Macaca mulatta: one gene and its partner. The protein of the gene in region 1 purifies or fractionates together with the protein of each later gene. This does not show direct contact. Links are inferred from orthologs where the notes say so. Each region holds a gene or a part of one and is shown on either strand. Other genes may lie near its edges.

Region 1 (4,419 bases):
AAAGAATATTTTAAGATTGCATGGGAACAGATCTATGGTACTCGCAGGCAAAAGAAATTTCATTCAACAGAATTAATCAAATCTCCCTTGTGACTATCTTCACATTCCACACTCGTGATTGCATCTTGCCCGGCTCCCAACACTTGGCTGTAGCTGAAAGCTTTCTCTACCTCCCTGCTTTGCTCTGGTGTCTCCCAGTGACCCTCCCAGTAGCTTGGCTTCAGCCCCAGGGCACAGAGCTCTGATCCAGGCTGAATAGCCATAGAACAGTTGATTCTGCTTTAACCCTGTGATCACGCTCAGTTCTTTTGATGTCTAGCACCACATTGTGCTTGGGACAAAAGCAAAAAGACTTCAAAAATATTGAGTGATTCTAAACTAATGCTTACATATAATGGGTATAAAAATATTCTGGGAATATACAAATATTTTACACTGATCTCCTTAGAGCTATAATCTTCTAACAATCTTCAAACGTATTTTTGCCTCACAGGCCATGTTAAGATTTTAAGTTCCCATACTCCCTAATTATCCTCTAATACTATATTTTCATAATTCAATGAGATTAATAGGGTAAACACTCCATTCATGTTGAAATATATCTATGTTCCGCGCATTGGCTAGAAGGTAAGATCTTAAAAACTAAAGACACAAAAGAAATTATATTTGTGTTGGAAATGCATTCATATAATTTTTGAGCTAGTGTAGTTTCCTAATATTACATCATTCTCACAGCTAAAGCTGTATAACAATGAGATTTATAGACAATTTAAAAATAAATATTGCCATGATTTACCCCAAAACAATGAAATTTAATCGTACTATAATGATTTTGATAATTAAATAATACCGTGTAGGTTTTCTTGCAACCATCATCTAAACTAAATCTTACAAGGTCAATAAAATTTACTGAAGAAAAAGTCCCACTCTTATCCATGATTACTGGTTTTCAAGTATCTGAACAAACAAGGTACAAGTACAAAGTTTTAATGCCTTAACTAGAAAGGTAGGTATCACAGGTGGACATACATCAAAGGAAATATATCTGTGGCATCATGATTTTAATCATCTTTATTTTTTAAATTTTCAGATGTTGGGGAAATTTTAAGGGACATGTAAGGTCCTTTTAAATGTAGACTGTCTAGCAGAGTTGACTGCATTATCTTGGTTTCTCTTTCTCTGCCTTTAGATGACCATTACCTTCTGGGAATGTCATACTTATTTCTACATCTGAGTTACTTCTCTCATGAGAAGCTGGAAAAAAGAAATCAATTAATCACTATTTGTAAATACCCTTGGAGCTTTAGCTGAAAGGCCTTTTGACAAGCGAAGTATTATTCTCTAGTACCTTACGGAACTATTATGTCCTTACTGGTACATACTTATAAGTAATTTTTATTGGATCTTAAGACCCAGCATTTGTTTGTTTTTTATGACATCAGGCTAAATCTAGCAGTCTTGACTGGAAACCTGTTATGTTTGTAGTTGTCATGTGCAAAGTAATTGGCCTGGTGGAGGGGACAATACCTTATTACTATTATGTGGATTATGCCTATTCACATTTGCCTGGCACCTTGGTTGGCACTTAATATGAGTGCATAATGGGATTAATGAACTACATAAACCACCAGATCTGGAGCTATCGACTTACCAGCCAGCATATGCGTACATCCCATAATAAAAAGCCAGTGGCAACCGCGTAATACTTGAATCTCTTCCTGAAAAGGCGTCTTTAAAGTTCTGTGTTTGACCTGTAATTAGAATAGACTGATTTTAGGATTTTTCAAAGAATTGGTTCTTATTCATTCTTAACCAGAAACATGGGGGTGTGGAGAACCATACTATTTTAAGTCTAGATTTCTTACACTCTGTTGATTACCATCTTTATCAATACTGTACCCATTCTACAGAAGGGGTTCCAAAAGTATATTGATCATTAACACTATTTCACATTTCTCTTTTAATAAATGTATAACAAGGATGAAAATATCATTGAAAAACAATCCTCTGTTTGAGGATGCCTCTGTTGTGACCATAAAAGAAGACTAAAGGGTTTTCTGTAAATTATAATCTTTATGAATACAATAGAATTCTTAAAAATGAAGATAATGTTTTGCTTGGCAAAAAAATGTGCAGAAGTATCCAAGGTTCTACCCTTAATAAGGAGGTGGAAATAAATCCCAGGACTCCTTTCCTACACAATTTACCTTTCTGCTTCCTGTTTATCCCACGTTGTCCATTAGAGGCCTACCATCTAGAACAGAAGTTGGAAAACCCTGGACCATGTCTGCCAACCCAAACTGCAAGCCTTTTTTTTTTCTTTTTTTCTTTTTCTTTTTTAATTATACTTTAAGTTCTAGGGTACATGTTCACAGTGTGCAGGTTTGTTACATATGTATACATGTGCCATGTTGGTGTGCTGCACCCATCAACTCGTCAGTACCCATCAACTCGTCATTTACATCAGGTATAACTCCCAATGCCATCCTTCCCCCCTTCCCCCCGCCTTTTTTTTTTTTTTTTTGGCGGGGGGGATGGAGTCTCACTCTGTGGCCCAGGCTGGAATGCAGTGGCACGATCTTGGCTCACTGCAACCTCCACCTCTCGGGTTCAAACGATTCTCCAGCCTCAGCCTCCTGAGTAGCTGGGATTATGGGCGTGCGCCACCATGCCCAACTAATTTTTGTATTTTTAGTAGAGATGGGGTTTCACCATGTTGGTCAGGCTTGTCTAGAACTCCTGACCTACGGATCTGCCTGCCTCAGCCTCCCAAAGTGCTAGGTTTAGAGGCGTGAGTCACCGCGTCCAGCCACAAGCCTTTCTTGTAGATAAAGCTTTCTTTATCTATAAGTTAAAAATGCCTATTCATGAAGTACTGCCCATTCATGAAGTATTGCCTATGGCTGATTTCAGCCTATAATAGCAGAGTTGAGACCATACAGCTTGAAAAATTGAAAATATTTACTATCTTTTCCTTTACAGAGAAAGTGCACTCACCCTATGACCCTGTCCTAGAGAATGACATGTTTTTTTCCTAGAAATATTGAAAAAATATTATAAAGAATTCTAAAATAAATAGGTTTCAATAAATTTTGCAGCAACATGTGAATTGAACACTTTTATTCATCACTTTTTTCTCTATTTTGTGAATCACAATGGAACTTTTTCTTTTATATCTTTTGAATAGTTTTAAAAGTCAGAAATTCAGATTCACTTTAGTCAGTCAATATTCAAGCTTAAGTGGAAAAAATGTTTCTACTACCCAAAGAAAATATCAAATGAGATTATCCAAATAGAAAGTGAGACTTTGTTTTAAAATAAAACTTCATGTAAATAAACATAAGGGGGACAGGAGATGGATGATGTGTATGAGGCACTCTCTCTTCCAAGTCAAATCTCAGTTTTTCCTGCATTCATTGCCCAGCCACAACATATATATAAATATAATATGTGTGAGTATGAAGACCAAAAGTGGAGAATGTTGAGTTACATACTAAACATTTTTTCCGTCAAAGTAAATGATTCCCAAACATAGCTCACTTTTTAAATGATACGATAAATTCAGAAATGCCCATTTTACTAAGACATCGTTGTGTCCTTCCAGAAGAAAAATATAAGTAGTGGAATTAAGAGAAAAGCATCTGTTGAATATTCTTTTATCATAATCTGTGGTCTCTTTGGCATAAAGGCACAATATTTCTAAGAGTACAGCACCAAATAATCAATAAGAAAAGCCAAATTCTATAAAGACTGGGTCACAAGCACAGATCTTCAAAAGTGCCATTTTGAGAATATTACAAAAGAGAGGTATTTTGTTTCTAGAATTCAGGAATATTTTGGCTATATAACAGAGGTCTCATGAAGATTAAAGTCAATATTCAAAGGAAAGTTCAACAAACCCTCATAAGTGAATACATTACATACAACTACTTTCAGGATATGATTAGAATAGAAATAAAAGCACAATCTGTATTAACAAAGTCTCTTACTAGAGTTTCAGATTAATGTGAAAAATGTGTGATCATGTGAGAGAGAAAGAAAATCACAATTTTATAGTAATCAAGCAAATATACCTGCTAACAATGGTCTCTAAATGTTAACATTTACATTAAATGTGGTAATATTCTCAGGGAATTTCTCTGTTGAGTGAGATCTCTGAATAAGCCTGTCACATTAAGCATTGATATCATAATTATTGATTAAAATATCTCTGTATGGTAGCCACCAAAAAAACCTCAAGATATATCACGACCTCTGCTCTCAAGGAGTTTGTAATACAGTAACATTTGAGCAACCAAACCCTTCCTCATATACATATATAAATACCCAGTAAAAAAGGAATATAGTCTATAATGCTACCTACAGTGTCTTACATTACACCAAAAAGAAAAAGAAAGAAAATATATCTTAGTTTCAAGG
Region 2 (5,084 bases), on another chromosome or scaffold:
GCCTCTTTGCTTCTTCACATGGGAAAACACAGCCAAAGTTCTAACTCCCCGCAAGGGGCGGAGTCTCTAATGCTCAATTAGAGAGAAAAGAGCAGAAAGGTATGTGCCAACCCCAAGCCCCAGGACTCTCAGACGTTCACCTCTTTCTCAACACCAGGCATGCAATTCCCAAGCAAAGAGCCCCTCGCCCACAGAGAAAAGGAGATGCGTGTGAATGAAGGACTCATCCCTGCTGGCCTCCGCCAAGGGTCACTTTCTTCCTCCTACACAGGACCCCTAATTCAAGATATCTGTTCCCCAACTCAGAGTTTCTGGGTCCAATGTCACTTAACTACATTTGGCCATTTCTCCACTTTTTGCTTTCCCATACAAAGACTGGATCCCCTTCTCTTCCCGAAAGCCTTGCTCCTTTCCAAAGTTTCCTCTTGGTTGTCCAGAGTCCACCACTCCCCAGAATGGGGCAACAAGAGCTCCTTTCCTTCCCCCTTCCTCCTTCTCCCTCCCGCCACCCACCCCATGCCCAGCCCCAAGCCCTGTGACAAAGTCATGTCTCCTTTCCAAGTCTCAGTTCCTGCCAAACAACTTTACAAGCACATGAAAGTGAGGGCCGGGGCAGTTATTGCTACTGGCACTTCATTGTGCTTCCTCTAAATGATGCTGCACAAAGGGGCCGTGGAAACTCGGGGCAGGAGGGAGCCTGCCGGTCTCCGGGAGAACCTCAAGGGTTAGGACGTGCCAAATATTTGGAGGTGGGGCCCTTTAGAAGAATCAGGGAGACAAGTTGGAAGGAGTCAGGAGTCAGAAAGCCCAAAGACAAAGCAGAAGATGGCACTGGTAGGTAACATACAAATAAACTTCCCTAGAGGCCATAGGGAAACCACCAGGGCCCTCTTCTCTGAGGCCAGGCCCAGGGCTCTCCCTGATCTCCAACTTGACTCTTCTCTCCCATCCTGAGTGTTTCCACTTTTCAAGGGCTTATTTGAACTCCAGTCCCTTTTGGAACTTTCCCTAAGGCCTAGAGTCCACCAAAATCCTTTCCTCCTTGAATCCTTTCCAAGTTTGTCCATCTTATACAGTCTAACATATTATAAGCCTAGGCTTTGGAGCTCAGTGCAGCTGGGTTTCCATCCAGCACTGCTCCTGGCTATGTGAATGCCAGCAAGTCACTTAACCTCTCTAAGCATCAGTTTTCCTCCTGTCAAACAGGCCTGATAACAGGAAGCTTCTTACTAGGCCATTGTGAGGGGAGAATGAGATAACACATGGAAAGGATTTAACATAATGCCTGGCACAGTGAAAATATACAGTACATGGTAGCTAGTGCTGTATTGCTTTTTTTTTTTAACAGAGTCATGCTCTGTCACCCAGGCTGGCTCACTGCAACCTTAGCCTCCTGGGTTCAAGCAATTCTCCTGCCTCAGCGTCCCAAGGAGCTGGGACTACAGGTTTGTACCACCACACTGCTAATTTTTGTATTTTTTGTAAGATGGGGTTTCACCATGTTGGCCAAGGCTGGTCTCGAACTCCTGACCTCAGGAAATTTGCTGCCTCAGCCTCCCAAAGTCCCGGAATTAGAGGCATGAGCCACCATGACCGGCTGTGTTATTGCTGTCATTATTATTACTATTTCAGCTTCAGTAGTATAAATCCTAGATCCCCAAATCCCCACCTAGTAATGACCTCCTACTCACACAGAAAGGGAGATGCATGTGCACAAAGAACTCATCCTGCCTAGCCTCTACCTAGGGTCACTTTCTTCCTACTGCAGAAAGTAGGAAGATACAGAAAGCAGAAAGTAATTCAAGACAAGTTATACTGGGTACGCAATCTAAAGTAACCAGGTGGGACTGCGTTTCACTTTCTCAGTACCCCCGTGGAACTGGGTTAATAAATATTTGCTGAGTAGAATTTACTGCATGCAGGTTGAGCTGTCTTAATGACCCAGCTGGCACTTCTTAAGAGAAAAATTAATTTTGGCCAGCGATAAGCGAATTGGCTGTGTAATTATCTGTACATATATAGACAAAGAAAGAGAATGCTTGGAATTGAGCCGTGCTAGAATATACCTTACACGCAGCCCCTCCCCTTCATAGCACTGACCCTATTGGGATGAGATATTGGAGTCCTAGCCCCAGTGTCCCTGATGTCGCGCTGGTATCAAGGCTCTTCTCTCTGCTCTGAGGCTGCCAGGCAGGGAATATGAGCCACGTTACCGTTGAGATTTCCCCCACACTGATTGGCAGAAGCAGGAGGTAGCAAGGACCAAGCAGCTGGTGCAGTGGTTGCCTCTCCTATTCATGCTCCCTGTCCCAGGCTGGAATCTCATGGAGACCCAAGACTTCACCGCAGAGCTGGTTCAGGCTTCCACAGCGCTAAGGTGGCAGTGGCAGTGCGGACTGTAAGCTTTGGAACAATGCTCAGTGGGTAGTTGGGAGAACCCAGGACCCCTTTCTGGAAAACCCATTGCCAGCCAGTCTCACACTTGCAATTGTGACCCCTTCTGTGACCACCTTGGTAACCGCCATTCGCCCTTTTCTAGCCCCAGTTCCTGCCCCGCCTAGCTCTGCCCTGCCTAGACACAGCCCGGTGGGGCTTGACGAGCCCTTGGGCACAGGAGCCTGTTAGTCCAGACACTGACTGAGCGCATCCAGGAGAACGGTTACTTTCTGCCATGTGCTCTAGCTCTAGCGACCTCGCCCAAAACTGCGTGCCGGCAGCCTGCCCAACAAACTTTCTTCTCTTTCTCTTTTTCTTTCAACCAAACGGTGCTTCCACAGACACATTCTCCAACGGTTTAGCGCAATCCCAGCCCTGCTTTCCGGAGCCCAAAGCACTTCGCAGGCAACTCACTTGACTCCAGTCCCCCAGCGCCGACTCAGCCGGAGGGGCTACCTCCGGGTCCGCGCTGCGCACCCCGCACCCATCTTGCTGCCCAGGATGCGGCGGGCACTCACCGATCTGCGCCAGGCTCAGCTGCAAGAGGCAGAGTCCCCAGGCTGCGTGCCACCGAAACTTGTCCATGGTGTCCAGAGAGAACGGAGGGCGCGGGGGAAAGGGGCTGGAGGATCCCTGAGCGCGGGGCAGGGGCCGGTGGAGGACGGGACGAGGATGGCGGACCGAACCTGGCAGAGGCTGGGGTCCGCTGGGCAATGAGGCTGCCTCGGAAGTTGGCTGCAGTTTTTATTCGAGGTTTAAAGTGACCTAAGACGGAGGGAGGGAGCGAGCGAAGGACACACCCAAGCGAGGGGGGCTGTGACTAAGCAGCCGGCAGAGGTTTAAAGAAGTAGCAGCCCTCCTGGGCGGGCCCCTCTGCCTCCGCCCCGTGCTCTGCTGAGGTTGTAAATAATCGGGGCTTCCGTGGACGTGGGTCGGGGAACCTGGAGTGTCGCGGGGTGCTTGTGCCTCCGAACCCCACCGGCCCCTGCGACCCGGGACGCACTGGCTTTCTTCTCCCGCTGGCCCCGAGACGTCAGGACAGAGGATGACTGCATCATAAAAGCTTGCACCGTTGGGTTCAGCCTTTGGCCTCTCTTTTCCCGCTAAATTTCTCTTTGAATCCGACTGGAGAAAGATCTCTGGGTTACACAGGTAGTTGGATATCCTGGGAGAGGAGCTGGAGACAGGGCGAGGTCTTGCCCTGGGTGGCGCAGTGCCTCCATGCCCACAGTGGGGAGTGAGGGGTGGGGAGTTGGTGAATCTTCTAGGTGGAAAGAGGGAGAGCTCATTCTTTTCCCCCTCAAAAACAAGTGAAGTCCACATGGCTTGAATAAGTTTTTGCTTCTTGGCAGAACAGCTCAGGGAAAGCTACTGATGGCCGGTCATAGGGCTGGCATTTGGCTCGGCTAACCCATGTGTTCAAGCCAGTGGGTGTGGGCACCTCTCTCCACACACATGCTCACTCATCTTCCTAAATACCCTTCCATCCACCCATCCATCTATCCACCCATCTTTCCTTATGTCTTTCCGGGACTCTCGCATCCATGCATCTTCTTGTCCATCCACTAACCACTTAGGTCCATCCATCATCCCATTCATTCATTAATTCTTCCAGCCACACATCTTTTAATTTATTCATACACCTATTCTTCTATTCATCTTCCCATACAACTTCTCAATCATCATTCCACACTTCCTTTTTCACATCTCTTCATAAACCCACAACCATCCACCATCCTCTTCTCCACCCATCCACCCACATATCTGTTTATTGATATATCCACTCATTTCCCATCTGTCCATGATCAACATATCCACCTGTCATTTTATCCATTCTCTCATCCACCCATACATTCATCTGTTATTTTTTGCCCCCATTATCCTCCTTTCTGTATAAACATTAATTCATTTTCTCCCACCTCTTCTATCCAGCAGATCTTAAAGAGAGGAAGAGATTGTAATATTCTTCAGGGGAAGCCTTTTGAGATTGAAATATCATACTTTGAATGATAACTCTATATCTACCTATAATACACTATGGTTTAATGTTTGGAAATCAAACACAGTATTTATTTTTCATGTGAACTACTAAAAGTAAATCTGCAAGGACTTCTTGCCTGGTGAGTTGCACAGAAAATGAAAGTCATTATCAGTGGCTGTGGCAAGACTGAAGGAACCATGCCAGAACTTCTGAGGGAAGGTAAGATTTTGTTATTTATTTCAAGAAATTGAAAAGTTGAGAGAAATGCACCCAACTATCCACCTATGCATTCATTCGTCAAACATGTAATGAGTGTTGTGGGGTATCAAGGTAAACGAGACCTGGCGCTATCTCCAGGGCCTTCACCCTCTGGTAGGGAAACTAACTCACAAGCAGGCCTTTACCATGCAAGGTGAAATATGTTGCAAAATATGTGTGTTCAGGGTGCTACCGTTCCTAGAGAAGGGAGTCACACTGTCTCCTGGAGAACACCAGAAAGTCTTCACAGGGGAAGTGATATTTGAGGCAGACCTCAAAGGAGGAGGAGGAATTCTTCAGATGAAACTACAGGGACAAGTCATTCACAGGTGGTACTGTGTAATGATGAACAGCCTGGATTCAGGAGTCAGAACACCTAGATCCAAACCCTATTTTGACTGCTTCTTAG

What was found. Proteins that work in one complex are often made in the same cells at the same time.
Region 2: the proteins of SLC7A11 (region 1) and CD44 purify together in Homo sapiens (affinity purification with western blotting; 3 studies listed by BioGRID and IntAct, with this or other methods). This does not show direct contact. The link is inferred for Macaca mulatta from reciprocal best matches to the Homo sapiens genes SLC7A11 and CD44.

Annotation. Positions count from the first base shown.
Region 1 is NC_133410.1:147,080,926-147,085,344, forward strand, and holds part of SLC7A11 (cystine/glutamate transporter), read right to left. Parts: intron 1,752-4,419; coding exon 1,652-1,751; intron 1-1,651. UniProt on the Homo sapiens protein: Heterodimer with SLC3A2, that functions as an antiporter by mediating the exchange of extracellular anionic L-cystine and intracellular L-glutamate across the cellular plasma membrane.
Region 2 is NC_133419.1:30,145,530-30,150,613, forward strand, and holds the start of CD44 (CD44 antigen), read right to left. Parts: upstream 3,155-5,084; 5' UTR 3,022-3,154; coding exon 2,955-3,021; intron 1-2,954. UniProt on the Homo sapiens protein: Cell-surface receptor that plays a role in cell-cell interactions, cell adhesion and migration, helping them to sense and respond to changes in the tissue microenvironment.